Linked DNA regions of Elephas maximus indicus. The protein of the gene in region 1 interacts with the protein of each later gene in a pairwise test. Links are inferred from orthologs where the notes say so. Each region holds a gene or a part of one and is shown in the gene's direction. Other genes may lie near its edges. The genes, in order: RBFOX2, ATXN1L, RNF8 and HMGA1.

What was found.
Region 2: the proteins of RBFOX2 (region 1) and ATXN1L interact in binary tests that used the Homo sapiens proteins (3 or more experiments, as listed by UniProt). The link is inferred for Elephas maximus indicus from reciprocal best matches to the Homo sapiens genes RBFOX2 and ATXN1L.
Region 3: the proteins of RBFOX2 (region 1) and RNF8 interact in binary tests that used the Homo sapiens proteins (3 or more experiments, as listed by UniProt). The two-hybrid records come from large-scale screens. The link is inferred for Elephas maximus indicus from reciprocal best matches to the Homo sapiens genes RBFOX2 and RNF8.
Region 4: the proteins of RBFOX2 (region 1) and HMGA1 interact in a two-hybrid assay, tested with the Homo sapiens proteins (2 studies listed by BioGRID and IntAct, with this or other methods). The link is inferred for Elephas maximus indicus from reciprocal best matches to the Homo sapiens genes RBFOX2 and HMGA1.

What each region holds. Positions count from the first base shown.
Region 1 is NC_064822.1:179,541,664-179,549,663, reverse strand, and holds the start of RBFOX2 (RNA binding protein fox-1 homolog 2), read left to right. Parts: upstream 1-4,995; 5' UTR 4,996-5,117; coding exon 5,118-5,300; intron 5,301-8,000. UniProt on the Homo sapiens protein: RNA-binding protein that regulates alternative splicing events by binding to 5'-UGCAUGU-3' elements. Prevents binding of U2AF2 to the 3'-splice site.
Region 2 is NC_064839.1:38,614,976-38,622,135, reverse strand, and holds the start of ATXN1L (ataxin-1-like), read left to right. Parts: upstream 1-4,149; 5' UTR 4,150-4,270; intron 4,271-6,247; 5' UTR 6,248-6,324; intron 6,325-6,332; exon of another isoform or gene 6,333-6,522; intron 6,523-7,160. UniProt on the Homo sapiens protein: Chromatin-binding factor that repress Notch signaling in the absence of Notch intracellular domain by acting as a CBF1 corepressor. Binds to the HEY promoter and might assist, along with NCOR2, RBPJ-mediated repression.
Region 3 is NC_064819.1:101,041,960-101,049,906, forward strand, and holds the start of RNF8 (E3 ubiquitin-protein ligase RNF8), read left to right. Parts: upstream 1-4,946; 5' UTR 4,947-5,128; coding exon 5,129-5,239; intron 5,240-7,947. UniProt on the Homo sapiens protein: E3 ubiquitin-protein ligase that plays a key role in DNA damage signaling via 2 distinct roles: by mediating the 'Lys-63'-linked ubiquitination of histones H2A and H2AX and promoting the recruitment of DNA repair proteins at double-strand breaks (DSBs) sites, and by catalyzing 'Lys-48'-linked ubiquitination to remove target proteins from DNA damage sites.
Region 4 is NC_064819.1:97,114,607-97,122,321, forward strand, and holds the start of HMGA1 (high mobility group protein HMG-I/HMG-Y), read left to right. Parts: upstream 1-4,698; 5' UTR 4,699-4,792; intron 4,793-5,025; 5' UTR 5,026-5,133; intron 5,134-7,715. UniProt on the Homo sapiens protein: HMG-I/Y bind preferentially to the minor groove of A+T rich regions in double-stranded DNA. It is suggested that these proteins could function in nucleosome phasing and in the 3'-end processing of mRNA transcripts.

The sequences.
Region 1 (8,000 bases):
CAAGGTGCTAAGGATCTTGTCCAAGGTCAGGTATATGGCATGTTGTTGTTGTTAGGTGCCGTCAAGACAGTTCTGACTCATAGTGACCCCGTGTAAACAGAATGAAATGCTGCTTGGTCCTGCGCCATCCTCATGATGGTTGCTATGCTTGAGCCCATTGTTGTACCTGCAGTGTCGATCCATTTCGTTAACGGTCTTCTTCTTTTTCAGTGACCCTCCACTTTACCAAGTATGATGTCCTCCTCCAGGGACTGATCCTTCCGGATAATATGTCCAAAGTACTTGGGAAGAAGTCTTGCCACCCTCAATTCTAAGGAGCATTCTGGCTGTACTTCCTCCAAGACAGATTTGTTCATTCTTTTGGCAGTCCAGGGTATATTCAATATTATTTACCAATACCATAATTTGAAGGTGTCAATTCTTCTTCAGTCTTCCTTATTCAGTGTCCAGCTTTCACGTGCATAGGAGGCAACTGAAAACACCATGGCTTGTGTCATGTACACCTTAGTCCTTAAAGTGACATCTTTACTTTTTAACACTTCAAAAGAGCTCCTTTGCAGCAGATCTGCCCAGCACAATGCATCGATTTCTTGACTGCTGCTTCCATGGGTGTTGATTGTGGATCCAAGTAAAATGAAACTTTGACCTTTGCAACTTTAACCTTTTCTCCGTTTATCATGATGTTGCTTATTGGCCAAGATGTGAGGATTTTTGTTTTCTTTATGTCGAGGTGTAATCCATGCTGGACACCTTAGCCTTTGATCTTCATCAGTAAGTGCCTCAAGTCCTCTCTGCTTTCAGCAAGCAAGGTTGTGTCATCGGCATATTGCAGGTTGTTAATGAGTCTAGGGAAACCCTGGCAGCATAGTGGTTAAGTGCTATGGCTGCTAACCAAAGGGTTGGCAGTTCAAATCCGCCAGGTGCTCCTTGGAAACTCTATGGGGCAGTTCTACTCTGTCCTATAGGGTTGCTACAAGTTGGAATCGACTCGACGGCACTGGGTTTTTAATGAGTCTAGGTCACGTATATGGCATAGTCAGACTCAAATCCGTATCTACTTGGCACCCGAGTCCATGTTCCTGACCACTAGAGATGACCTTATGATGATTCATTGCAATTGTCTTTTTATTTGCTCATCCCTTCTCCCCTCCAGACTGTGACTTCCTTGGTACCAGGAATAAATTTTATTCATCTTGGTATCCCAGGCACTTGTCCACAGTTTTTTGAATAGAAAAATGAATAAATGTTAGGGCTGCAGTAGTTTTGGCAGCTAAAAATTCTTTCTAGGAAAATAGTCTTTAATTGTCCTCTTCGATGTGTTTTGTAACCACCTGTCTTCAAACAGATAGCTGCAGATTTAAATAAAAGAAATTATATTAGTTGTTGTGCTGCCACGGGTACATTCGGCCTATTCTAATATTTGTAGGCTTCTATTCTCCTCTCGAGGAGCCCTGGTAGTACAGTGGCTAAAATGCTCACCTGCTAACCCAAAGGTCAGCATTTTGAACCCACTAGCTGCTCCCTAGGAGAAAGATATGGTAGTCTGCTTCCATAAAGATTTACAGCCTTGAAAACTCTACTGGGCAGTTCTACTCTGTCCTATAGGGTTGCTATAAGTCTGAATTGACTCGAAAGCAGTGGGTTTGGTTTTTGGATTCTCTTCTCTCTCCCTAATTGCTTAATGCTTGTTTACAGGGCAGGGTCCAATTTCTCTTTGTTCTGCCTGGTAAATCAAACATTCCTATACTGCATTGCTCTATTTCTCAGGGATTTGAGAGTTACATGAATAATATAATAATCTGAGTCACAGGCAGCCCTGATACCAAATCTCATTTCTTGCTGGGTCATGGGGCAGCCCCAAAAGGACCTAGTGTCATTTAGATTTCAGTATATTGGCAAGGAAGGTGGTGAGGGAGGAAGAATTCTTAAGACACCAGTTCAATAAGTAAATGTTTCATAAAACCAATCACTGATGTCCTTAGGTTTTTTTTTTTTTTTTTTTTTTTAAGCCATCTTTGTTCCACAGGCCACCAGGAAACATTTTGATGTTTCTTCAAAGCTGAACTGCTTGGTTGGATGGGATCAAGCCCCATATGCTGTGGGGTACTGCTAACTAGAGCCCCCTATTAGGTTGGGGCTGTCTAATTCAGCTCAAGAATAAGCTTGCAGGCAATTGGACTTCCAACTTGATGATCTAAATGGCTGTATTAAGAGACGCTGAGGCTTCTTTTTCCAGCCTTATAAGCATCTGGCGAGCAGCTTACTATCACTAAATAAAATAATAAACAATTACCACTTATTAGGTAGTCACTATATGTTAGGGACTGTGGTGAACACTTTACTTATTTTGTCTCATTTAATCCTTAGAACAACACTGTGACTGTTACTATTGTTATCTTACAGACAAGGAATGTAAGGCTTATTGAAAATAAATAATTTGCCCAACAGTGTTGCATCAAGGTGTGAGTTGCAGAGCCTCCACTCTAATTTCCAGAGGCCCAACCCAAGCCACCGTATATAATAATAATGATAAAAGTAATAATGATAATGATATTCTTTGATCTTGACAGTGGGCTTTTTTCCACTCTTATATAAAGCACAAATAAAATCATAACAGTAATAATAACAGCTAACATGGCTCAGTGGTTAAGTGCTAGCTGCTATGTGAAAGGTTGGTGGTTCAAACCCACCAGCTGCTCCACAGGAGAAAAATGTGGCAGTCTGCTTCTGTAAAGATTTACAGCCTTGGAAACCCTATGGAGCAGTTCTACTCTGTCCTATAGGGTCACTATGAGTTGGAATTGGCTTAATGGCAATGAGTTTTTTTTTTTTTTTAAAAACATGTTTTGAGTGCTTACCATTGGCCACAGGCTTTTTGAAGTTCTTAATCCTCACTTAATTCTATGATAATCCTTTCCAGAAGTTCTATTATTATCCTAATTTTCAGATGAAGAAATTGAGGCATAGAGAGGTTAAGTAACCTTCATAAGGCTTCATGGCTTATAAATGCCAGAACTAAAACGTGGCTATTTTTATTGATCTATGACACAGCCTAAGTAAAAACAATATGCTCACTGTGAAAATTCAACTTCAAAACAAGTCTTCCATTTCTCCCTAACAAGGACCCCTAACACCCTTCTATACAGAAATTCTTGTTACCACTGGTCCAACACCACATGGTGTGATAAAGCCTGGGTTCAAACCTGAGTTGGTCTGACTCCAAAGCAGGAGTCTTTACCACTGTACTGTTTAACGCCGCCTAGGTTAAACCCAAGTTCAAAGGCCAAATCATGGACACATTTGGAAATTACCTTAGAAATCATCTAACCCAGGGTTTCTCAACCTCATCACTACTGACATTCTGGGTTGGTTAATGCTTTGTTGTGGGGACTGTCCTGTGCATTGTAGGATGCTGGGCAACATTCCTGACCTCTATCCACTAGATGCCAGTGGCACCTTCCAGTTGTAACCATCAAAAATGTCTCCAGATATTAACAAATGTTGGGGTGTGGGGAAAATCCTTCCTTTCCCCTTACTTGGTTTGAGCACCACTGATCTAAATCATTTCCTCATTTTACAAATGATGGAGCTGCTGTCCCAAGAGATGAAATAGACTGTCTAAGCTAGTTAGCAGGGCAAAGACTAAAAGCCATGCTGTTTATGCAACATCACTGTATCCCTGCAATGTATGAGGCACATTATGGAACCCTGAGTAAGCACGTGCCCATCAGCTATTCGGTGGGAGAGAAAAGCTATTGCAACTATCTCTAATGGCACAAAGTCGATACGCAATAAAGTTTTACTCAGGCAGCAAGGTGTAGAGAAAGACAATGTGATTTGTATCCTGAGATCTGAATTTATCACTTTTTAGCTGTCGGACTTAACCAAGCTTCAGGTTCATTATCAGTGAAACGGAGATCATGGCATCTACTCTGCCTGTGTTACCTGCCTCAAAACGGGTCTGTGAATGCCTTGTGGACACTATAAATCTCTTAAAAGCACCAGGTATTATTATGATGATTAAAAAAAAGAAAACCCAAACCCGTTGCTGTCGAGTTGATTCCGACTCATATGTGATAATAATCACTATTAGAATAAAAGCTCTCAGAACCCATGTAGGATTGGCCTTATTCCTGGACCTTCCAACTTGAGATTCCCTATTCCTCGGCTAGAGAGGAAGCAGGCAACGAGCCCCTCCCACTGTGCCTCTTCACGCCCTGGGAACCAACGCTGCCAGATGGGTGTATAAGCCTTCCAAGCGGGGGCTGCTACCCTGCTCTCGGGCGTCCCAAGCCCTGCCTGCCTTAGGCTTTGGCCCCACCCCTAAGGAAAACCAGACTCCGCCCCCTCCGCGCCTCCTGGAACTCCAGCCCGGCTCTACCTCCAGGACAATTCCTCGTTCGGATCGGAGATTCCCGAACTTCCCCGATCTCTTCCCGGCTTCCCTCGGGCGCCCCGAGCCCAGGCGGCGGAGATTGCCGAGGGGCTCGGCCCCGCCCCTCGACGGGCCGGGCCGCCGCCGCCACCGCCCCCTCGCCACAGCCTCCCGCGCGGGCTGGAGTTCCAGATCCCGGTCCCTCCCTCCTCCTTTCTCTCTCCCCGCCTTCCCGGTGCTGCCACAGTGGCGGGTCGGAGGATCCCGGCCAGTCAGCTCGTCCCAGCCACGAGCCCCTCCTCCCCCCTAATAAGCCCCCCTCCCCAGAGCTCGGGAGCCGGACCGCCCCCTTCCTCCCTCCGCGCGGCGTGTGAGGGAGAGTGGGAGAGGGCGAGCGCGGCCGGCAGGCGAGCTCCGGGAGCGTGAGAGGCGGGGCGGCGCGCAGGCCGGCGCTGGGGTGTGTGTGCGAGCGGGGGGTGCGAGCGAGCGAGCGAGCGCCTGTGGCGACCCGGCGGCGGCCCCGGACGGGGCGCGGGGAGCGAGCCGAGGCGCCCGCCAGCCAGGAGCGGCGACCGCCGGCCGCCGAGGGGCGCCGAGCCCGCGCGCGCGCGCACGCACGCACGCACGCGGGGGGGCGGGGGCAGGCGCGCGCCCGCCTGTCGCGACAGTCGGGGCCGAGGCCCAGGGCGAGGTGGCCTGTCGCGGGTCGCCCGGCTCCCGGAGGCGAGGCGGGCGCGGGCGGATGGCGGAAGGCGCCCAGCCGCAGCAGCCACCTCAGCTCGGGCCCGGCGCCGCTGCCCGGGGGATGAAGCGGGAGTCGGAGCTGGAGCTGCCGGTGCCCGGAGGGGGAGGAGACGGAGCCGAGCCCGGCCTGAGCAAGCGGCCGCGCACCGAGGAGGCGACGGCCGACGGCGGCGGGATGCAGGTGACCGCGCGGCAGGGGCGCCCCGTTTTCGCGGGGGCCGGGAGGGTCGGCCCCGGGCTTCCCGGCTTGGAGAGGAGGAGGGCGGGCGGGGGTCCTGGATCGGAGGTGGGAGGGGGCCGGTCGGGGCCTGGTTGGAAGGTGGGGCGGGCTCTGGCTGGGCGGCGAAGGGTGCAGGAGGATCTGGGGCGCCAAGAGGGTCCTGACGCCTGAGGGGACCAGGACGCACGTGAGTAGGTTTATGGGGGGAAATTGTACACGGTTGAGATGGATTCCATTCCCTCTAACCCGTTCTTAGTTCCTAGGGGTGGAGTGGAAGCCGGGAATTTCTGGGTGTATTGCCTAGAGGCGAGCCGCTGGGCTGGGTCGAGGATGAGGGGCGGCGGTGGTGGGAAAGCTCCCAAGAGGAAGGAGCAGTGCCTTTTCAGCAGCCCTCGACACACGCTGGGATGGGCAAAGGAAGGAGAGGAGGAAAAGCCAGCGAACTCCTAGAGAGAGCCGAAAGGGGATGTGGCTTAGATTGTGGGTTAAATCAGTTACCCAGGAGGGTGAGAAGTCTAGGGAGTTTGGTAGTGTTGTAGGGACACCGTGGCGCTCAGTCTCATTAACTTTGTGAAGCATGCTAATGAGTCTGAAGAGATACGAGAACTGTCCCTCCTGTACTTTGCCGATTGCATCCTACATAGCCAGGACACCGAATACCTTTTTAATGTCCTGGGGCATAAGAAAATTTATAGGACTATTAGGAGACTGGATTGTGGGTTGTGGACTTCAGGAGAAGCTGGTTGATTTGGATGGGGAATGGGAAATGTAGGGATGCCGTCAATGTCTTTGTAGTTAGACGAAGAGCTTGAAATCTTGGTAGGCTTTAGGATTTCGTCTCTGTTCAGAAAATACTTGCAATGAAATGGTGGGGCTCACTTACCAGCAGTTGTTCAGACATCTGCCTAATCCTCTGAAAATCATAGAATGTTAAAAGATAGAAAGGACCAGAGACATTTTTTCCGGGGCTTTTGCACTTGGATCGGTTTAGAGGCTTCTTACGCAAAATAGTGTATGTGCACTATTTTTGAGGGAGAGTCAGTAGCTTTCATCTTTTTTTTTTTTGAGGAGATGCAGTTGCCAAGATGTTTTAACCATCTCATCTTACAGATGGCAAATCAGAAGTCCAGAGATGACTACTGACTTTCCTAAGACCGACCAGGTAGCTGGTAGTAAAACTAGAACTAGAAGCCTGGTCTTGTAATTCCTATTCCTGTGGTCTGTCCATTACACTACCCTTGGAAATCTGTGCAAAGCTAAAAGACTTCCTGTGCCGTGCTCCCTGCTTTTCAAGGCCCTGCATGACTTCCTGTGTGGGAGACGGAGGAGCTGTACTTCAGCCTGGCATGTTTGCTGTATGCTTCTCGGTCTCCTTTGCAGAGGCCACTCTGTTACTTCTGTTGGTTTGGGTAAAGTGACCCTCTTGTTTGTTTTGGAATTCTTTTGTGTTTGCCTGCTCTTACTCTCCATTCGAAGTTTGTCAGGCAGAGGGATTATGAGAAGTAGAAGCTCAGGGCCATGGAGAAAATTTAGAGGAATATGGAGAGACTTCAGGTGAAGTGGGTTAGCATTGGATGGTAAGGAGGGGAGACGGGTTGTGGGTGCTAGTGAGCGTGTTCTACCTAATGTGTGCCTGTGTGTGTGTATTCATTTATTGTTTCTACCAGTTAATAGTCAGATTCCCCTTTCCCTCCTTCCCTCCTGGGGCCTATTATTTGCTGACTGCCTTCAAATTGACTAAGGACAGGAGTGTTTGGAAATGGAACAGGGTTTTGGGATTAGGGGACATGCAGAGGAAGGAGTGGGTTAGGTCCTTTGGGTATAAATGGGTGACTTAGAACTGTCCCACAGAGAATCCCTTTTTTTTGTTGTTGTTGTGTGTTTATGGATATTCTTTGTTTAGTTTTTCACTGTGTCCATTCTCACTGTTGTGCTCCCATTGTACCATGTCACACAGGTGTTCACATCATCATCGGTAGAGCACCTTGCCGTATGGTTTTTGAAAAATCCCTTCTTTTTGGACCTCAGTTTCCTTAGTTGTAAAATAAAGTGTTTGTATAGTATGATTTCTGAGTTACCTACTAAAAACACACAAGTTTAGTTTCATGTCCTTATCATAATTCAGTCTAGATGGGGAGACACAATGGGTGAAAAGTTTTTTTTTTTAAAAAATGTGTTTTTTGTGTGTGTATGATTTTTTTATTTAAGTTCCGGAGGAACAGGAGTAGAAATACCACAAAGTAGGTATATGTCACAAGGCATTGCATAATTTAGAGCCACAGTGTACAGAGGACTTGTGCCCCTGGGTCCAGAAGAAGGAGATGGTCATTCTTACCGAATTGGTCAAGGAAGGCTTTATGGGAAGGTTGAAATTTAAGGTGTAATTGGGAGTAAAGGAGAAATTGTGTTCGTGAAAAGATGATACTTTGCTTAGAGGACCTATAGCTCTAGGACTTTCTGGTATCGTGCTGACAATAATGATGGAATAATTAAGATTCGTCCAGCTAATGTTTACTGAGCAGCTGCCCTGTGCCAGGCAAGGTTTTAGCCCTAGGGGATATAGCGGTGAACAAAATAAAGACCCTATTCTCAAGAAACTGATATTCTAATGGGAAGAGACAGGCAATAAAGAAATGGACTATTACCAGTGATGAAGAAGAT
Region 2 (7,160 bases), on another chromosome or scaffold:
ATTTTCAAACTTTTTAAAATAAACTTTTCATTTTGAGGTAACTGCCGATTTATGTGCAGTTGTAAAAAGAATACAGAGATCCTATTTACCCTTTACCCAGTTTTCCCCAGTGATAACATTTTGCAAAACTGTCGTACAATATCACAACCAGTATATTGATGCAGATACAGTCAAGATACAGAACAGACTTCAGAAATAAAAATTACTTGATTACCATAATAATCATTGCCACATTTCTCTGAGTCTGAAATAGGTCTTTAAATTCCCAAATTGCTAAGTAAAGCCTTAGGAGATACATGGTCTCAGGGATTGCATCGCTAGATGATCTGAGAAGCAGTTTGCTGTGCTGCCTGCAGTATTTACTCACTTTTTTTTTTTTTCAGGGAGTTTTAGGTGACTGGCAACCAGCTGCAAGTGGACCTGAAGACAATCAGCTTTGAAGCCACTGCTGAACATGATTTCACCACAACTCTGAGAATTACTACTGTAGATAAACAGCAACTCACAAATCACCTTGCCAAGCAAGTTTCCCAGAGAAAGAGAGAGTTATCAGTGTCTCAGGGGAGGAGGCATTCCAATCTTTCCACATCCACTTTATTCATTCAACAAACCCCAGGTAAGGAATTCCTGGCTACTCAGCAATGGCTTGAACGCACCTGTTTTTCTGTGGACCAGTTCTCCAGGTGTGACTCTTCCCATTCAAATAAGGGCTATATTTCAGTCAGCAATTTCAATCCTCAGTGTTTTTACTGCAACTTTTGATAATTCTACAGGAAGTTTGGGACAAAAATGAAAGTCTTTGGCAAGTGTCTGAGGAAGTAGACAAGGGAGGGACATCCCCTTCCCCGAAGGAAGTATTAGCCACTTTTGGGGGAATTACAAGACTCCTTTGAAATAAAATACTAATGAGTTTAAGAGGGAAAGCTCTGCTGGAACATGGACAGGTCACATAACATCAAAGGTGGGAATGAGGACACAGCATCATCCAGAGAAGTAAATAAAATAGAAGGTTGAAAATTGCATATTTTTGCATTGGACATTTTAGAAATGCTTTTGAAAAATAAGCCATTACCAGGCACCAACACTTCTCCAGGCAAAGCTAAATTCACAAAAGTATTTCCATAATTTCAATGTATGTTTGGGATTAGTTGTTTCTGTCATTGGTATCTAAAGGTAAGTCACCTTTATACGCTGAAGCATACAAGCAGGAACACGTGACAGTACAAAAAAAGCCACCTACCTCTCTTAAAAAAAAAAATTTTTTTTTTTTTTTACCTCTCTTATGACACACATAGGTTTCTGAGTTATCAGCACTTCTCTCTGGTTTTATCCTTTTAACCTCAAAAAGAGTTGAGATGGTTGTCTAAGCTTCCACAGTCTGTATTACAGGTCTACAAATTAGACCAAGGAGGAACTGGGCAATGCAGAGAGCTGGTTTGACGCTCCTGCCTGCTTAAGGAGAATAACCAGCACAGCAGGGTTTGTATTTTGTTTCTTTCTTCCAAAGAAGTAGCTCAAGCTCTCCCATGAAAAAAATTCAATCTGTGCCAAACGAAGGATTTCAATAGGAATCCAGGGAAAAGGGTGGAGACAACAGATTAAAGCTTAAATTTTGAGCGTCAACTATCTTTAAAAATCTCTTTTCACTTTATCAGTTCTTACAACTCAGTGGAAGAAAAACTCAGTCGAAGAAAATGAAAGGCTTTCAGATAAGATTGAAAATATATACTTAACAAATGGGGAAAAATACAGGATTGAAATGAGGAAATGGGAGCAAGAGAATTAGGAAGGAAAGTCTCCCAACTTGGCATATCTTTGTGAAGTTTCAGTCAATAATTATTTATTGAGCCTGTTACAGTGTACAAGACCCTGGGCTTACTTAATACAAGTAACTTAAATATTCAGAGAATATTCCAGATTTTTGAAGAAATAACTTGTTTTAGTTTCATAAATCTAAAAAACTGTATTAGTTAACTTATCCCTAATGTTCCTGTCAAACTACAGAGCTTCCTACGTCAAGATGTAGAACCAAAGAAATGATGACTGCTTGGAGGAGTTAAACATTCTAGAATAAGATAGTAAACTATGACCCACCCTTCTGGAACTGCAGCACCAAACCAGAAAATTACCTATGTTTCACCAATCAGAACATCCTGGTTTTTAAACAGACACGCCTTTTCACTACATCATTATGCTAATACTGGTAGCTAAAAAACTTTTTTTCCTGTCATCTACCTGTGTCTACTTTTTCAATTTTGTACATATCTTAATCTGGGAGAAATTGGCTATCTTGAGTGCACCTGGTTGGTCCAAGAGTCTGTATCTTGGCGGTTTTAATGCCAGTTTAGTGAGCTAGCAAAGAACTAGAAACCAGAATGCCAAACCAAAAAAAAAATTACCCAACCCGTTGCCATCAATTCCAACTCATAGTGGCCCTATAGCACAGAGTGGGAACGCCCCACAGGGTTTCCAGAGAGCACCGGGTGCATTCAAACTGCCAAGCTACAGGGTTAGCAGCCATAGCTCTTAACCACTACTCCATCAGGGCTTCCAGAATGCCAGTTAGTGCTAAAACGCATTCACTGAGTGACCACAGGATTTCCTCCTTGGCTAAACTGAGAGAGGAGGAGACTGTAGTGAAGGATAATATTAATATTCACAAAACAAAACCCTCTGCTGATTTAGATGGCTACAGAACAGTAACATCACTGTTTTGCCCACTTGTGTGGGATGTGTGAATGTGTGTGGGGGGTAGTGTTCAGTAATTTTGAAGATCCTGTGTGCCCATTCTAGGTACGAAAATATCAAAATTGAGGTCTAAGGATTCCATAGAAGGAATCTTAGGGATCATATACTTTCTTGGTATTTTAACTTTTTTATTTTTCTGAGGTAATATATCCTCGTAAAAAAAAAAAAAAAAATCAGCGATAACATATGCTGATCTTGTGACCACCATCCAATCTCACTTCCAACCCAGAGGAAATCAATGTATCCTTTTACTCCTTTTCTGCAAATATAATGTTATGTGTTTTTTAACATTAAATAAATACCACACTGCACATATTTGCCTATTTTTTCACTTAACAAATGTTTGGAGTTCTCTTCTATCTACATTTTACACCAACCCCTTTATCCAGTTCAAACTCCGCATTTTGCAGAAGTGGAAAACCAGCCTAAAGTGTAGAAATGGCTTTTCCAAGATCAGGCAGCAACAGAGTAGGGATCCCAGCCCAGTCAATACTTTTTAAACAAACAAAAATTAATTATTATTTACTAAGTAGAGCCTGTATTTAGTAAATAACCTGCAGAAACTGAAAGGAAAAATTTCACTCAAAATCCAATCTCGTCAATAATCAAATTTATTTTTTTCTCGGTTTATTTTAGTTTTTGTCCATATGCATAACTACTTCCTTTTTACAAAGTTAAACCAAAGCACAAATTGGCGTTCTTTTTTTTCCACTTAAATTAACCGGATTTTCATGTTACTATGAAGTCGCACCACCTAATCTGTGATGAATAGTGACCTAACATTTCATGGAGTAGTTCAACCCTCTTCCCACTAAATCAAGCTGCTTCCCTCTGTACTAAACCCCTTCGTCTCACTCCCCGCTAATTTTCAGGTCTCCTATTACAAGCTCCACCTGTCCACTCTTCTGTCCCCACTTATGTCCAATTCTAAACTTTTAAGAGTTACCATCTCCACCCTGGGTCTCCAGTGAGGGGGTCTCCCTACTCTCCAGGGCCTGGGCCGCCTCGGTGTTGCCCAAAGTTCCCAAGAGGAAGCTACGTGAGTCAAGCCCGGGAAGTCCAGGAAACAGGGGTCGCTGGTGGCCACGCCTCAGGCCTCTGTTTGAGGATCTCCCGAATTTAAGGGAGGGGAGATTGCGAGGTCATTGGTGGGTACGGTAAGGCGACCAGGCACCCTATTCATGTGACCCGGTGCCAGCCAGAAAAAAAAAAAAAGAAAAAACCCAGTGCCATCGAGTCGATTCCGGAGGGAGTGCGCTTTCCCACCAGAAGAGGCGCCGTGGGCGAGGGGCAGGTGGCCAACCTCCACCTTCAGGGGAGTCCCGGGCGTCGCTCCCTAGCCCGGACCATGACGGGATCTTTTCGCGCCGGTGCGGGACGCGTGACGCCATCTCCCGGCGCCCGGCGAGCGGGGGGAGGCGCTGGGTGTGGGGCGGCTCCCGGGCCGGGGATGGCGGCGGCCGCGGCTGCGGCGGCTCCGGGACGCGAGGGAGGAGCCCGGGGAGCGCCGTGAGATGGGCCGGTGAGTGTCGTCGGGCATTGGGGCAGTCTGGCCGGCCTCGCTAAGTTCAGGCCTGAGCTCGGAGCTCCGGAGGAAGTGGTCCCCCAGAGCCTGTTGCCCCACTGGGTTGGGGCCCGAGAACCGCGAACAGAGGGAGCGAAAGAGGCCGCGCCAAGACCCCCGCGCATTTTTCTCCAGCCTGGCCTGGAAGGGGGCCTCAGGCCCCGGCGCCGCCGCGGCTGAGTCCCTGCGGGCCGGTGTCCGAGTCCGCGGGGCGGGAAGGGGCCCCCAAACAAGGAAGCGCCGCCTGCGGGGCCTCGCCCCTGCTCCCTCTCTGCTTGAAGGGTCGACTCCCACTCTCTAAACTCAGAATTCCTAATTTTAGGCCCTACCCTTGTTAGAATTGAGATGGCGGGTTCTCAGGGAGCCATAACCCTAGTCTCTTCCAAGCTTCTCCCTGTCTTTCGGGTGTACCCCTTGCCCTCCGTGAATTCGGATTTGGAGCTGGGTTCTACCTATTGATTTCAACCCCAGCGTGATGGGGAGCTTCGTTCTGGGCTCTCTTGGCAGCTGCCCAGAACGGTCTCCTGACCCGTTAGCTCAGTTGGGGTCACAAGATATGTCTTCTCCAGAAGAAATTCTCATTGAGCTGTTCCAGAGGCCAAGGTCAGCTTCCGAAGTGTGCTTTGCGTTGTGGGAACCCGGCGCACAAGCTTGCCTCTTTGTTGTCATTCCCGCAGACCTTTTGCCTCTTTCAGTCATTTTATTAGCCCGTGTTTGCTAATCCCTCAAGGGTCTAGAGACAGGTTTTCTTTAATGGTTTGGTTACAAGAGACAAGGATCATTCTGGGATTGAAGATGTGAATCTAACTTCTGTTAGGAGTGGAGGAGAAAGCTGCTTTTCAATTACTGGAACTGCTGGAAGAGAAAGGGATGCATGACTTGTTACCGCTGTGTAATTTGTGTTTATGAAACTAGGAATTTGTCTTTACACCTTGTTTTCCTATCTCTTCACCTTTTCTGTACTTCCTCATCTTGCCTGTCTTAAGAGAAATGTGTACGGAACATTCCAGGCCCATATAACGTGCCTTCAGTTTGGACTGAGACTTGCAGTATTCTGTAGGACTTGGACGGGGCAGCCGAAAGTTTCTCGAGAGTACACATCCGTACTGCTTTCTCTGTCTTCAGATGTTAAGGCTCCTGTTCTGTGCTTGACATCTCTGGCATGTGTAGATTGAGGTGTCGATAGTTGAATGGTTCTTCTGTTTCCCCATTGTTAGCTACTTGAAGACCAGGGTGACATTTTCGTTTTCTGTCACACTCGATTCAGCACTTGCTACAAAGTTGTCACTCAGAACATTTTACACACACACATACTGGAGCCAATTTTTTTGGCCTGAAATTCTGTTAATAAGGCTTCCTCTTGAGTGACTCCCCTTGAGTGACTCCCCCCTTGACCTCTTTTTCTGCCCCAGAAACATAAATAATTGTTCTTCTTCCTTGTAGTGCTGCTTTTCTCATTTAAAACCCCCCACATCTGTGTTTTCATGGTGCTAAGTAAGGGCAAAGTCCATGAAGTTGATTTTTTTTTTCCTGCTTTCCATTGTTCACAGGGGAACAATGTTGAGTCTTTTCCATTTATTTGTAGATTTAACTGAAATTGGGATTGGAAGTAAATTTAACCTTGGGGAATTGGCATGGATAGAGAATGAAAAAAATGGTGTTAAGAAAAACAATGAAATTTGACACATGGAAATTTTTTTTCCAGGAATATCTTCCTTCAAATTACAGCTTCAGACATGGCTTTTTTTTTTTTCTTTTCTTTTCTATTTAACTGCCTGGGAACTCTGGATAAATGTGCAGTTACCTCTGGAGAAGAGGGTGAGGCAAGGACTTGTGGACTTCAATGTCTTTGTGGCTTTGAAATTACCTTTCATGACCCTGGGGAGGGTCAGAGGTCAGGCTCCTGCTTATTTCATCCATATTTCTGCCTTCTAGGCTCCCAAGCCAACCGGGAGGAGACTGCTTCTTACTACAGCTGCTCAGAAGCACCACTGGAAGCTCAGGTAATGCAGGTACTTTGGATTCCTTGTTACACAGAAACATCTGGGATGCAACAGTAGGAAAACAGAACAGAGTATAATACAGAAATCTCTCTTCAGATCCAGAGAGTTGAAGTCTGATTGGAAGAAATAGGTGACTAAGTTCATGTGCATTGAACTGTTCAGACAGAAAAGATGCTGTCTGGCAGTGGACAGAAGCATTTTTGAAAGGTGACTATAACGGTGGGGGAGGGGAGTAAGAACTTTTTTACGAATCACACAGACCTAAGATAGGAATAAACAGGCATGTTTGGAGGAATGGAGCCAGAATTTTAGGAAGTGATGTGTAGAGCAGATCTGTAATGGAAAAGGAACCACTGGCAAAAGAAAACACAAAGGAAAAAAGAAGGCACGTTGAAAGTGGTTAGTGAGAAGAAAAGAGGTTCTTGCCAGCCTAGGGAATAAGAGGCCTATATGAAATCAGAAGAGTTTTGCTGTTCTTTGAGGAGGAGGAGAAACAAATAAGTTTTACAGCAAGCTGGTAACAGGCACTCTCCCCATAAGGGCCCAGGTTTGAATGTGGTATTTTGTGAAGCAAAGAGGATACTAGATTTCATAACATTTTTAGGGAGCAAGGTTTTTTTTAAAAAAGACACAAGCAGACCCCAGGACTTAGTGATACTCAAGGTAGTCCTTGAGGTAGTAGTGATAAGAGGCAAAGGAGGAAGAGAGTTTAGGCTTTGGGGGGTGGGGGTAGAGTTAGGTGAGATCATAATCCAAATTAGGCTGGGGAGAGGAAACAAGGATGAGGTCATATGCTCAGGGAAAGAAGATGGCACATTAGTCTTTGGTAGCAAAAAGAAGAGAAA
Region 3 (7,947 bases), on another chromosome or scaffold:
ATTTCTCACTCTTGGAATGGGCATTCTCAATCTTGGCACTGACATTTTAGATTGGATAATTCATGTTATGCGGCTGTCTTGTGATTTGTAGGGAGTGTAACAGCCTCTGAGTCACTAAATGTCAGTAGCACCCCCAGCCCAGTCATGACAATTAAAAAATGTCTCCAGATGTTGACAAATGTCCTCAGGGTGGGGTGGGGGGGCAATAACACCCCTGGTTGAAAACCACTGGTATAAAGGAATAGAGTTAATAAAATCCCCAAATCTTAGAAGGCAGTGATTTTCAAACTGTTTTGATCACGCATGCTTAGCAGCCAAACAATGAGAACACAGCCACAATGTATGTATGCATATTTATATATATATGTATGCATATTTCTGTATTCCCTTACAAAACCTATATATATCCCCTATGATGTTATTTCATGTAATTATAAAATATTAACAAAAGTGAATATTTTTAGGACAGGATAAAAATATAATTAGGCATCCTGATATTTTCTTTCCATTAGCAAATGGGTCATTTTGTGCAGTTTCTAGAGTATGGCCATCCCACCTTAGAGACTATTGCTAGGTTACAATGGATGCAACCTTTTGGGCTAGATAGACCCAGGCTCATGGCCCTGGCTTCAGGTCATTGCACTGCCACTTACTAGTTGAGTCACGTTCATTCATTCAATAAAATGCCAGGAGTACAATGAAAAATAAAACATAACCCCCAAGGAGCTTATGTCAACAAGATCTTGGAAAACCCAGCAGTCTTATGTTCCTCATGGATAAAATGGGGATAATGATATCTTGCAGGATGGTAGTGAGGATTAAGTAAGACAATATACGCAAAGTGTATAATTAAAAAAAGTGGCAACTACTAATTCATTGCAGGGCTATTTGTAATAGCAAAAGACTAGAAAGAATCTGTGTATCAATAAGGGACTGGTCGAATTAAAAATGGTAATCCACACAATGGAGCAGTATATACAGCTATAAAGAGGAAGAAGGAATATATGTATATACTGCTATGGAGTGATTTCCAGGATATATTGTTAAATTAAAGATGCAAGGGAGAGGATTGAATAGGCAAAACACAGGGGATATTTCAGGGTAATGAAATTATTCTGTATGATACTATAATGGTGGCTACATGATGCTATGCACTCATCGAAACCCATTGAACTTTATAGCAGAAAGAGTGAAACAATATTTACAAATTCAAAAAAATCGTTTAGGAGATCGAGGGAATTTGAGGATGGAATCCAAACTGTGACAAAAGAATATATCTGTATTACAAACGTATGAAACAATCTCACTGAAAGGGATGGGGGAGAAAATGTGCATTTCGAAATGAGTAGAGTCTGTAAAACTAAAGACAAAAGGAACTGCACATAAGCACTGTATTCTAGTCTATAAAGTTGTTTCCCATAGGGGTATGGATTAACAATTCTGAAACCATTATACATGTATACTGGAAATGAACAATTAGGTAAACGGATGGCGGGAGCCAAATTTCTCACTTTTGGAGTTGGAGGTTACAGATAAGTAATGGGGGATGACTAGAATGATCCACATGGTAATGGATTCGAGTTGAAGACATCAGCATAAACTCATGTTTAGCTTACAGATGGATATATATAGATATGAGTATACACATGGGTCAGTATACACATATATTTCCTTGTTCTGTCAACTGAGAGGGCCTAGAACCAATGACATCTCAGTAGCAAGGAGCATACCTAGCACCCAGATCTTGGTTTCTAATACTATTTTCTAATGAAAGGAACCAGGACTCCTTGGAGAAATGGCTGATTTTAGGACTGGGCCATCTTTTGCCAGAAATTAAGGAAGTGCTAAAAAAAAAAACACAATTTTGGGATTATGTCAAAGGGATTTAGTAACCAACTGAACGAGCTATTAGTGGTTACAGATGGAACAATCTGAGTAACAAAATAAAGTGGTATGGGGTTATAACCTAAAGTTTAAAATAAATATCCATGAATCCACACTGATATAAATAAATGACTAAATAAAGAACTAAATGTAGGAGAAAAGGCAAATGTCCCATGTAGACTTCTAAATAAGGTAGATACTCTGCCCTCCAGGAGGGGGAGCCTAATACCCCACTCCTTAAGTGTGGGCTGCACATAACAACTTCCTTCCAAACAATACATTATGGAAAGGGGGAAAAAGAATAGGTTAACAGTGGAGAAAACTGGCAAACACTACTTCAACCAGGTAATAAAGCTTAACATGAAAAGTGATACCATGTTGATAGTACGCTCCTTTGATATGATGTGATGAGAATGGCACTTTACCTCTGTGGTCTTCCTCCCCCAAACCCGTAACCCCAGTCTAATAATAGAAAAACATCAGACAAATCCCAGTTAGGGACATGCTATAAAATACCAGGCCAGTACACTTCAAAACTGTCAAGGTTATTGAAAAAGTCTGAGAAACTGTCACAGCCATAAGAAACCTAAGGAGATAAAACCCCAAACCAAACCCATAGCCCTCAAGTTGATTCCAATAGTGACCATCTAGGACACAGTAGAACTGCCCCATAGGGTTTCCAAGGAGCAGCTGGTAGATTTGAACTGCTGACCTTTGGGTTAGCAAACGAGCTCTTAACCACTACACCAACAGAGTCAGAACGGCCTCGAGGTACACTTGCTGTTCCTGGGACAGAATACTAGGTGAAGTGAGGGCTGATTCCTAGTTTGAGGAAGCATCTTTATGAGTGCAGCTATGGGCTCTCTCTAATTTTCTTGTCCCCTGTGCCACCACAGACCACAATTCTTGATCTGACAGTGCCACACAGGTAAAATGCTCCAGGCTGGGATTGCAACCATGGTTGGGAAATTAAACAGACCTGAGTTATGAGGCATTGGTGGTCCAGTGGTAGAGTTCTTGCTTTAAATGTGGGAGATCCAGGTTTGATTCCCTGCCAAAGCACCGCATGCACAGCTCACCACTTGTCTGTCACTGGTGAACTGTGTGTTGCTATGATGTAGGACTGGACCAGTAAGCAACATCATGATAAATGAAGAAAATATTGAAGTTGTCAAGGATTTCATTTTATTTGGATCCACAATTAATGCTCACGGAAACAGCAGTCAAGAAATCATATGATGTATTGCATTGGGCAAATCTGCTGCAAAAGACTTCTTTAAAGCGTTGAAAAGCAAAGATGTCACTTTGAGGACTAAGGTGCACCTGACTCAAGCCATGGTATTTCCAATTGGCCCATATGAAGGAAGATGAAGAAGAACTGATGCATTTGAATTATGATGTTGGTGAAGAATACTGAATATACCACGGACTGCCAGAAGGACGAACAAATCTGATTTGGAAGAAGTACAGCCACGATGCCCCTTGGGAGTGAGGATGGCAAAAGACTTCATCTCACTCACTTTGGGCATGTTATCAGGAGGGACCAGGTCCTGGAGAAAGACATCATACTTGGTGAAGTAGAGGGTCAGTGAAAAAAAGAAAGACTCTCGATGAGATGGACTGACACAATGGCTGCAACAATGGGCTCAAACACAGCAATGATTGTGAGGATGGCACAGGAGTGGGCAACGTTTAGTTCTGCTATACATAAGGTCGCAGTGAGTTGGAATTGACTCAATCACACCTAACAACAAGAACAACATGATATAGGACCAGGCAGCATTTAGTTCCATTGTGTATGTGGTCTCCATTTGATGGAAGCTATGTTGTTACTTGCTAACAACAACAACAACAAACCTAAGTTAGCATCCTGCCCCACCACTTAGTTCGTTACTTTGGGAAGATTATTTAATCTCTCTGTAGCTCTTTTCTCATCATCCCTAAAGTGAGAATTATAATGGAAGCCATCATCATCATATTACTTGTGAACAACAAATAAGATAAAGTATGTAGCATGCTTGACCTTGTACCTGGCACTTAGCTCTCAATAAACACTAGTCATTTACTATTGTGCTCTGTATAATTCATTTAGTGTACATGTATTTTTTTCCTGACAGAATTTAATATAGGAAAATTGTCAACCAGGTATCAGAAAACTGAAAAGACAAAATGGGGCATTGAATTTATCACAGAGGTAGTCACTACAGGGAGCAGGTACCACACAATACTGGAAAATCAAAGGGAAGAATTAACTTTATTGAGAGTAATTTACTTTCCATAAATTCACCCATTGTAAGTGTGCAGTTCAACGATTTTTTAGTAAATGTATGCAGTTGTGCAGTCACCACAACCCAGTTTTAGAACATTTCTGTTACCCTCCCCAAATTCCCTCTAAGCCCAGCGGGTTTGCATTCAATCCCCAGCTCCCACACCTAGCGCGCCAGGCAACGACTGATCTGCTTTCTGCCTCGAGAGATTTGCCCAGTATAATTTTTTAAACCGGGAATAAAAGGACATCTTGCAAAACAGATGCTATTTAAGAATAGACAACATATTTTAACATTATCACAAGTTTAAAGGTTGTTTAAAAGTGGGTTATCGTTTTAAATAATATGGATATCATCATCATAATTAAAACCAAACCCATTGCCACCAAGGCGATTCCGACTCACAGCGACCCTATAGGACAGAATACAACTGCCTGTAGGGTTTCCAAGGCTGTGAATCTTTGTGAAAGTAGACTGCCACATCTTCCTCCCGCGGAGGTGGGTTCGAATTGCCCACCTATTAGTTAGTAGCCAAGCGCTTAACCACTGCACCACCAGGTGTCCTATCATAACAATGCGGTTATAAATAATTAAAAAAAAAAAAAAAAGGAACGGTGAGAAGAGCTTCCTATTTGGGGCAGTCAGGCTGGGGTAGCGGTTCTAGCGAGGAAGGGGACTGGGGGAGAATTAGCGTGCCTCAGGCGACACCTGCCGTACCGGGGGGTAAACGCCCCACACAGCCACCCCGCGGGCCGCCCCGCCCTCTCGCGCAGGCGCAGTGACTCCGCTCGCTGGCCGGGTCTGGGCTGGGCTTGCAGCCCGAGTGTGGGTTCGCACTGAGCGCGAGCGCTTGGCGATTGCTTCTGTCTGGTGTTTAGGTATGGCGGCCGCGAGGAAGCGGAGAAGCCGCCGGAGCCGGGGTCCGGGCCTCGCTGTGTGCTGACCGCGACCCGGGCCTGCCCTGGGCCGAGTGGGCTATGGGGGAGCCCGACTCTTTGGTCACGGGAGACCGCGCCGGTGGCCGGAGCTGGTGCTTGCGGCGGGTTGGGATGACCGCCGAGTGGCTGCTGCTGGAGGATGGGAGCGAGGTGAGGGCGAGGGAAGGGGTTTGGGGCAAGCAGGGGGAGAGCGGAGGGGAGGCGTCCGGGCGGGCCGGGAAGGGGGAGGAGGAGAGAGGCGTGAGGCTGGGTCACCGGGGTTCTTGTGCGAGCGGTTGGGGGAATCTGAGGGGGCAGGGCATTGGAGGAAGCAGGGACAAAGTGGGAGAAAGGAAGAAAGGAGGGCTCGGGGGAAATCTGGAGGGCCACAGGGAGCGGAGTGGCGACAGAGGCCTGGTCCGAGGATACTGGGACGAGAAGCTGGCCCCGTTGACAGAGGCCTGGGCCCAGGGGGCGAGCTAGGGCGGGAGTCGTGGTTGCGGACAGAGCCAGGTGGAGGGGGCATAGTGAGAGTGAACGCAGAGAGGGTGAGAAGACGCTGGGGTGAGGGGCAGGGAGGGACTGAGACAGCCCCTGTTTGGGTCACTCGGAGCCCTGCAGTACCGAGTCCGGGGCCGGGGAACCGTGGGGCGGAGCTGCCGCAACTTCCACCCCGAGTCGCCAACAGCCAAGGATCGGAGCCTGGCCAGGAAGGGCTACCGCGAGCGTGAACTTTATCGAGTTTTATTTTGAAAACGATTGCGAGTTTTGGGTTATATCCTCCAAAATACTCAAACTTTAATGTAACGGTCTTTTTCTCCTTTTTAACTCTTGGAGAAAGCTTGGCGCTTTGGGATGGATCACCTTTATGCCGTGACACGTACCGAGTGGTACCCTGAGATGGGCCGGGAGTGGGAATTCAGACATTTTTAAAGAATTCTCCTTTCCAGAGCTTGCTTATAATGTTTGCTAATGCGGTCATAAAAGCAAAACAAAACAAAAAAGAAAAGGTGAGAGGAGGTGAAGGAAGAGAGGGGAGGGAGGAATTAGATTGCAATCCGGTTAGGACGGAGAGCTGGGTCAGGGACCAGCTTGTGGTAACCAGGAACCGTTTGGGTTTGGGAAATAATTTGTAAAACAGGTTCATTTTGTAGTAAAACTAGGTGGCTGATCATTATGTTCTAAATTAAAGATTTTTGATTATTATGTATGCTTGATTAGATTTCCCTATAAGTCATATAGTCTCAATTCAGTCTCCCACGTATTTATTGAGTACTTATTTTTATGCTGTTTGGTGTACTATGAGAGGGACAAATCTTAACAACCTCTGTACTCAAAGTATTTGTAGCTTGAGTGGGGAAGGATTTATACAGTGAAGTAGTCTGAGAACATCCATGCAGGCTGTATGATCAAGTGCTTATATATGGATTATTTAATACTATTCTAGAGGAGTGGCTCCTCAAGTCAGAAGAGGGATTCAGGTCCAGTCTTAAAGTGACTACATTAGAGGGTTATTTCAGGAACACCAGGAAGAAAGACGCTTCTGCCCCAAAACATCCCTTCCACCCAAGTATCAGTACCTTGAATTCCACACTAGACATTCATTCACTTCCCTGTATGGCTTTTTCCAAACCATATACCTTTGGGAAGTTTAACAAATTAATAATTATAAATTAATAATAACTGACATTATTTTGTATAGGGTTTGGGCTTTCACATGTATTAATTAATCTTATCACTACTTATGCACTATACTCTGACACACAACCCTTTGAGGTGCGTAGTGGTCAAGTGTTTACTCATTTTTTCAGATTCAGTTGCAATGGTTTAATTTATTACTTCTCCTGAATACCTTGGTAGCACTGAGTATCTTAGGAGTGGCATGGGCAGAAAGATTAAAGCACCTGAACCAAGGGAGAGAGGACTATTAAAACTCTCCTAGACATATTTTAAACTATGGGTTAGTTTTGTGTGGTGCCTCTTCTTTGGAGAGAGACCTATGCAAATCTAAGTGAATGTTGAAGACTTAGTGGGAATGACTGTGGCTTGCCTAGGGGGCCTATGCAGAACAGAGGCCGGCCTATCCTGGCTGTCTGCAAGACTGGGTCTTAGGAAGTAGTTGGAGCATAGCCTGCAGTGTGTATGAAGAAAGACTTGAATCAAAGCCAAGAGATGAGGTCTTATTTTAATGGTCCCCAAATCATAGCATAGGCTGGTATGCACAAAGTTTTAGGAGGTATGCTGACATCATTTAACTATAATAGCAGTGTAAGGTCCATTCCCTACCTTTCCAGTTTCCCTTGGTCTCAGATTTCACAGATAACAAATAAAATACAGATGTACTGCAAATTAGCTAGCTTCTGGGCTCTGTGAGTATCTAGACCTTAAAGAAAAACTATAAAAAAACTATAGTATCTTCCTAAAAGGCAAGGATGGTTCTAGAGTATTTGCTAGTCATCTGGGAAACAGTAGGAATCATAATACCCAGGAGGGAAAGGGATAACATTGGTGAGGGTAGACAAGGACAAGATGATCTTCTAAACCAATTATGTCAGTAAGCTCAAAGGCTTGCAAAGCTGTTGTAAATGGAGACAACCCCCAACATATGGATCCCGGAAACGTTTGATGGCACTCAGTTTGCATGGGAAATTTAGTTTTGTGTTATGAACAGTGCTGAAATTTTCAGATAAGCTCACTGAAGACAATTCAACCTTGGTGTTGGTAAAAAGTCAATATTGCCAAGGTAATTTCTAGGGCCAGATAGTGCAGACAAGTATGAGAAAGGATGATTCCTTCTTTTTCTGTGAAAAAAGCCTGTAGGAAGCAATTTTAAAACAAGGTAGAGTTTCTTTACATTATTCTACCTTTTCTGTACCACT
Region 4 (7,715 bases), on another chromosome or scaffold:
TTATTTCAGGTTATAAAGGAGCTGGGCTTTCCTGGTAACCCAGTCCTCAATAATGCCATAAAGTCCATGGTGTCCCGAGGCCATGGGTGGGCCAGCCACTGGCTCACAGGAAGGGGGCAGAGAGGTGCTGCCTCCCAGGCCCTCCTTTTCACTTGGGAGTTTTTCCCTCGAAAGTTGGAACCAGAAGAGGCCCTCCTTCCACTCTAGGCCTGCCAGGCTTGCTGGCAGAAGAGCTTGTGGTCAGCAGGGTCTGGAGGCCTGATCCTGCCAGATGACCAGATGCACTAGTAGCTAGATGACTCTTGAGGATAGTGGTCAGAGACTGTGTAGCAGGGACCTTTGACCAAGCTGGATCCTATATCCTGAGTCCGCCCAGGTTGACATGGGCCGGTCAGGTTTATGCTGTTCTCTGGTCATAATTATTAATAGTGTTCCCTCTTACTCTCAGGTGTCCTGTTTGCCCACTAAAGCTAAACATACCTATACTATGATCCAGGAATTCTTCTAGGTACGTACACAACAGAAATGGACGCCTTTGCTTATCAAGACATATTCTAGAATGTTCCTAAAACCAAAACCAAGCCTGTTGTCATTGAGTCCATTCTGACACACAGTGACCCTAGAGGACAGAATAGAACTGTCCCATAGGGTTTCCAAGGAGTGCCTGGTGAATTCAAACTGCCAACCTTTGGGTTAGCAACCGAACTCTGAACCACTACAGCCACCAGGGTTTTCAGGATGTTCACAGCAGCAGTAACTGTATTAGCTCCAAACAGGGAAAAACCCAAATATCCTTCAAGAGGATGGATAAATAAATTGTTGTTCATTCATACCATATTAACTACACAGCAACGAGAATGAACAGTCTACAGCCACACAATAACATGGATGAATCTCACAGACATTAGGCTGAGCGAAAGAAACCAACCTGGGAGAATACATACTGTATGATTCCATTCATATAATGTACATAGACAAAACTAAACAATGCTGTTAGAAGTTGGGATAGTGGTTACACAAGGCAGCCGGCAACTGCTTCTTGATCTGGGTGCTGGTCACACAATGTTCACCCAGTGAAAATTTGAGCTGAACACTTAGGATTTATGCATTTTCTGTACGTATGTTATTTGTCAGTAATAAGTTTACTTTTAAAACTGCCCTGGTTTGGACAATTTATAGAGTTTGTAGTCACCCAATGATACTCAGCAATTCCTGATTCTCTCCCCCTTCCCATCCACCTTCCATGCTGGGCTGGATACCCCATGCCATACATAGTCACACCCCCACCCCCTCCATTTGGAAAACCTTAAATAACCCAATCACTAACCATCCACACGGGTCTTTCCTCCTACTCTTCTAAAAACAGCAGTTGACTGAGAAGCAAGAGGTAAAATGATAAGCAAGAGGTAAAATGATAAGCAAACATGCTGACTAGAGAGATGGGAGGAAAGAAAACTTGAATCCCCAGGGAATGCTAAGAACACCCAAACTACCACATTTGCATTTCCAAACCAGGACTGAGAGATTGTCAGGGAAAGAACTAACACACTTCAGGAAGAATTTCAATAGCTCAGGGGGAAATGACCTTAACTTTTAGCTGTCCTGAAAAGTTAAGGTTACCCAACACCCCATTACCTGGATACTCCTTTTGGGTTCATTGATGTTCATTGAGCTATACTTGCGGAAACTGTTATTACCTGAATCTGATCATTGGGAAATTCGTCTTGTGGCAAAGACTGGGTCTAATACCAACCAACTCCTCCAGGTTCCCTCAGATCTTGGCCAACCTGGTTGACGTTATGGTTAGACTCAGGCCTAGAATAGCTTCTTCTCCCTGGTCCCCACTGTTTCCCACCTATCCAAATCCCATCACGGGCTGCTCAAGCCCATCTCCTCCAGGAGACTTCCTTGACCAACCACCTCAGGTTCTCAATCTCTTACCTCTGACCTCCTTTAGCATCGACCAAGGCTCTCCTTAAGCATTCCACCCCTCAATCTAAGTTTCAAGAATGCAGGGAACTTTGCTTTATTTACTAATTGTACCCCAAGAGTTTGGGCCAGTTCCTGGCATGGAGTAGGCCCTCAGTGAATACTGAATGAATGCTTTTTGCCTCATGGCATCTCCTGGATTATGATTCAGCTTTCTCTTGGACATTCCTGGTCAAGATTCCCCTAGACAGGAAATTTGCTGGGACAGGGATTGTCTTCTTCATCTTTTTACCCCCACTACTCATCCCTCTTTGAGATACCTATTGAAAGAGGAAAAGTACAGAGTGTGAATTCGGAACATTTGTAATCTAGAAAGCATTTAGGTGCGGGTCAGTGGGTAGAGAATTATTTGGATTTCAAGGTGTGGGTAATCCTGGAGGGGACCAGCTTACTGTATTTGCCTACATCTTTATTTATACCTGCCTCCTTCCAGAGAGGGTTTGAGGTGAATTACAAAAATACACACAATGCAAGGTTAAAAAAAAAAAAGTAAATGAGGAAATCAGGACGAGGGGGAAAATAAGAGTAGGAAAAACATCAAATTGGCTTGCTAGAAGTGGGCCAAATAGTTGGCCGAGTTTTCCCACAGCCCACTTGGGAAGTCCCTCTCCCGCCTTTATCGCCCTCTCTGGGAAGGCACCCCTGAGGTTAGGTGCGTCCAGGCGAGGGGGCTAACAAGACCATCCCCGTGCCTTCCTGACGGCCAGCCCCAGAACCTCGTACAAGAAGCCCAGACAGCCGTGGGGAGGGCTGGCCTTGGGCAGGGTTGCATATAGGGGCGTGGGGCTCTGGGGGGGATGGCCCAGACGTGGGGGACCGGGTTGCTAGCAGGGGCCTGTGATCTGGGGGTGGACGAGTAGGCGCTGAAGACGCGTCCCTCCACTCAATGCTGCAAAGGCTCCAGAGCGCGCCACTCAGTGCCCTCCAACCAACTCTTCTCGCGGCCTACTAAGCGCGCGCGCCATGCTCAGGACACAAAGATGGAGGGAGCCGCGCGCTTCACCCCGCCCCACCCCCACCAACCGGCTCCAGACAAAGGGGCAGGCCGCCCCTCCCCCAGCCTCTCCCTCTCTTCCCCCTCCTCCCTTCTCTCCCCTCCCCTCGGGCGCCCTTCGGTGACTTCCTCTCCCCTTCTGGGGCGGCCTCAGGACTTCTCAGGAACTGCCTTTCACCTGGGCGCAGGGCGGGGAACCAGCGCGCGGAGCGCGGCCTTCGGGCCCACCCCCGGCCTGGGCAGGCCCCAGGCCCGCGCCCTCCCCTTTGAACCCGCTCTCTCAGCCCCCGGCGCCTTCCCGCCTAGGCGCCCCCACCCCCACCCGGCCGAGCACGTGCTGCCCCGGGCCCAGAGCGCCATCCCGCTGCCCTGGGGTGGGGGCTGGGCCCACTCCCGGCTCTGTTCCCCACCCCCACCGGAAACATTCCTGAAACATTCCTGAAACTAGGAGGCCCGGCCCCTCCAGCTCCCCACCCCGCCTCCACTCCGGGTTCAGGGTTTTCCTAGCGTCCCCCTCCACCGCCCGATCGCCTCCTGAGGAGGGGGCTGGGCCGGGGCCTCGGCTGACCGGGGAGGAGAAGGGGAGCAAAGAAAAACATGAGTCACAGCCGCCGTGTGTCACTGGACCACATTGCAATTCCCTGCATCACGGGAGGTGTGGAAGGCCGCCTCAGGGCCCAAGGGCGGGGAGGTGCGCCCAAGAAGGCCCCGGGCCCCGGCCTGCAGGGCGCGCCGCTCCGACTGCGCCTTTTCTTCCCCCACCGCCTTCCCCGCCATCTTTCCACTTTGGCTTCCTTCTCGTTTGTGCAACAAGTTTTTGTTGAGTCAGGCGCCGGGCGGCCCAGGCGTGGCGGGTGTGGCGTGCGTAAAACTCAGCCCCTGCCCTCAAAGAGCTTCCAGGGGATCCCTTGCCCACGCTTTCTTATTTAGAAAAAAAATCACAGCAGAGGGCCAGGTCACAAACTGGGACCGCATGTCCCAAAACACCACCCACGTCACCTAAAAGAAGGACTCCTCGGATTGACTTGCGAACGAGTCAATCGTTTCTTTCGCTTGAAGGCTGCACCTTGATTATGGCTCACCCGTGGCCATTAATTAAAACTCTTTGAATTTCACAAGTTTCACAAGACTTGTATTTCACCAGCCAGCCACACGCGGGTTGACACTGAAATGCACATGCCGACACCTGTCCGCCCAGGGGAGATCTATGAGCAGCGTATCTGGGCGAAGGGGGCGGAGGATAGGCCGCGGAATTCTCTGAACAGGTTCGCGTCTCTCCACTCTCACGCCGCGTGGACCCCGCAGGCACGAACGCCCACCGGTGCGTGGAGAGGGAAGACCCACATGCCCAGAAGGTCCCAAGAGGTGACTAGCCTGGGGACCCCACTTTGGGCAGAAAGGCCGCCCTCCCCCTCGCATAAAGCTGCTTCCTGATTTCTCTGCGCTCCTTGCCAGTTCTCTCAGGCCGAGAGTGTGACGAGTGGGCCATAGCCTCGGGTTCCCAGCCCAGGCCTCCCGCGCACTCGCCTCCCGCGCACTCGCTCCCCCCCACCCCGACGTCAGGAACCGCGGGCCCCTCCCCGCCGTCAGCACCCACCCGAGCGGTGGCGGCTGGCGGGCGGCCGCCCTTTTAAATCCCCGGGCTCATTTGCATGGCCCCGCCCCCTTAGTGACACGGCTGGCGCGGGCGGGCCCGTCCCCCCTGCCCCTGGGTCGCTCTTTTTAAGCTCCCCTGAGCCGGGGCTGCGCTCCTCTAATTGGGACTCCTAGCCCGGGCTATTTCTGGCGCTGGCGCGGCTCCAAGAAGGCGTGAGTTCGCGGCCGCTCCGGTGGCTTCCTTTTTTTTATATCTATAATTTAATTAAATTATTTATTTATTGAGGCCGCGCACGGGCCGTGCCCAGCTTCCTGCCCCTCGCCATCCTTCGGGGAGGGGGAATAGCCCCCCTCTGGATGTGGCATATAAATACCCCGCGGGGGCCTGGGCGGCGGGCACGCGGCGGCGGCAGGCTCTGAGCACCTCTGCTCTCTCCTGGTTTCAGATCCGCATTCGCTACCAGCGGCGGCGGAGCCAGGCCGGTCCTCAGCGCCCAGCACCGCCGCTCCCGGCAGCCCCGAGCGCGCACCGCAGGCCGGCGGCCGAGCTCGCGGTGAGTCGTCCCCGGGGGCCGCGGCGGCGGCGGCGGCGGCTGGGGGCGCCCGCGCCCCCGCCTGCTCGCCGCCCCTTCTGCCAGCCGCCCGGGGCTGCAGCGCGCGCCGCCGGCTTTATTCCCAGGCCGGGGCAGCGCGAGTCGCCGGCGGGGGAGGGCCGCGCGGCGCGGGGGCGGGCGGCAGGGCCTGGCGGCGCGGGGTGGGCGCCCGCACCCCTTCCCCCGTACCGCGGGCGCACCGCGGGGGGTGGGGACCCGGGAAAAGCGCGCGGTGGGGGAGGGGGCGCGCGGCTGCAGCGAGCGCGAGTTGTGCACCCGGCAGAGCCGGGTGCACCTCGCGCGGCGGCCGCTCTCGCCAGAGCCTGGGCGAGAAGGTGGAGAGAGTAGCAGGCTGCGGCGCCGCGGGAGAGTGGGGGGTGGGTCGGGCGCCCCCCGCAGCCTGGGGAAGTTCTAGAAGTGAGGGGGATGGGCAAGCACCCCGCAATTCGCCCTTAACTGTCCTCGGCCTTTTTCCTGGTCCCTCCTCCGCTGATGAGGCCGGATCGTGGGCCTGGGTTTGGGGCTTCACCCTGACCCCACCTCTGGCCTGGCCCGCTCCTCTTCAGCCCCCAGGGCCGGGCCTGCCCTCCGCCCCCACAAACTGGTTTCTCTGCTTTGCTGGGCTCTGTTGGAACTAGTCCCTATGATTCCCCGTTTCTATTTTTTGGGGGGGTTTTATTTTGCGGGGAGGGCACGGAGGGAGGTGGCTTTCTTCCTCTCTCCTGCGCCCGCGCGCGCCAGGTTTCCTGCCCCAAGGCGGGCTTGGGTGCCCCCTCTGGCAGGAAGTGGGGCCGGGTGCACCCGCGTGGCGGTGCATGCGGTCAGGGTGCGCCGGTTTCCCGCGCCTGCAGGAACGGCTTGCGCCCCTCCCCCCGCTCGCCCCGGCCCCTAGTCCCGCCGTCTGGCCTGCAACGGTCGGGTACAAACACTTGCAGAGTCACTCGGGGTAGTAGTCTGGAGCAGGGGGCTACAGGGACATAACCAGCCTCCAGGTGGGGAAGAAAAGTGTGGCGGGCTGGAGGGATCGCCAGGTACCTACTCCAACCTATGCTCGACAACTTGCTGTGTGACCTTGGGCAACTCATCAAGCCTCTCTGGGCTACTTCTTCTTTGGAAAACAAGGAAAGGGGGCTCCCAAGATGATTCCTAGGGCCATTTTTGCAGGCTCCCTAAGCGTTTGTGGAGCACACGTTGCATACACAGTGTAGGTAGGGGACATGCTTGAGGCCCAAGCAGGCTTATTACTAATGGAGGGATTGAGGTTGGGCCCTAAATGTGGCTTCTCCAAGCCAGGCCTTCCTGATGTTTAGAAACAGGTGGAAGAGACAGGCATTTCTTGGCTTCTCTAGAGAAGGCCTCAGGCTTTCATTCAGGTTCTGGGGGCCTGGTTGGGCGTGGGGAGGAAGGACGGGTGGATTAAAGGGTCCTAGTAGCAAGAGGTTGGGGGCCGCATGGTATAAGAGCTTCCAAGGAGACCGGCCAGGATCTTCAGGCTCTCTGGGATTCAGGGCTGACTTCGCTCAACTGGAACCCCCTCTGTTAGGGGGACCTGGCAAACCTCATGTGAGGTCAGCCCTCATTTAGCTGATTAATTTTGATGTTTAGTTTTTAAGGGAGACCTGTGGTGTAATATAAGATTCTAATCACTGCCTGTAATTACAGAGCAGGCCAAGCCGCTAATGATGGAGCAGGATAAATCACCAACCACCTTGTTTAAAAGGGTCTCCAAGTCTGAAATATTGTAAAATAGAATAATTATCAGACAAAGTCCCGCTGTCTGGAGGGCCTCTTTATGCTTGAGGATGGGGGCCTCGGCCCTCCAAAAATCACAAGTTTACCGGAATGTCTTTTTTTTTCCATTGGGTTAAAATTGGAAAATGCTTAAAGATCTGAAAAGGGGGAAGAAAAGTTGTTTTCAAATGTTCTAGTTCTCATTTTGACTGGAGCCAAGATTCCCCCTGCTATTTCTTAGAAAATGAAGGTTGAGCACATCTTACATGTATGTAGCGCAATTTAAAGTATCTTTTTTTAACTTATTTAATTTGATCTTCATAGCAATACGCAGAGTTAGTTGGCTCAGGTCACTTATTATTACATCCATTTTACAGATGGAGAGATTTCAGAAGCAGAGGCACTTGGGGCCACCCTTTGCCCAAGGCAGATAGGGACTGGTTGGTTACTGGGGGAGAAGTGTAGAGCCATAGGCCTCCTAGATCATCTCTGTTTCCTATCGGTAACTGGGAGGACAGGGGTGGAGATGTGGGGAACCCTCACAGTCCTCTTTAAGCCTCTGGAAGAGGGTCTCAAATACAGGATGCAGACTCAACTGGCAGTGGGTGATTTTAGGCAAACTCAGACTTAGTGGGGCGGCTTAAACTCAAACAGGCCTCTGAGAAGACTGAAAGTGCCAGGAAAGGACCAAGAAGGTTTGGGAATCAGCCCTGCTAGGACTCTTGGGGTTAGGGTCTGTCAGAAAGGTCAGAGGTAGAAACCCGTGCTTCTAGTAAGTAAGGGTCAAAGAGAAAAATGCCATCTGACTCTAG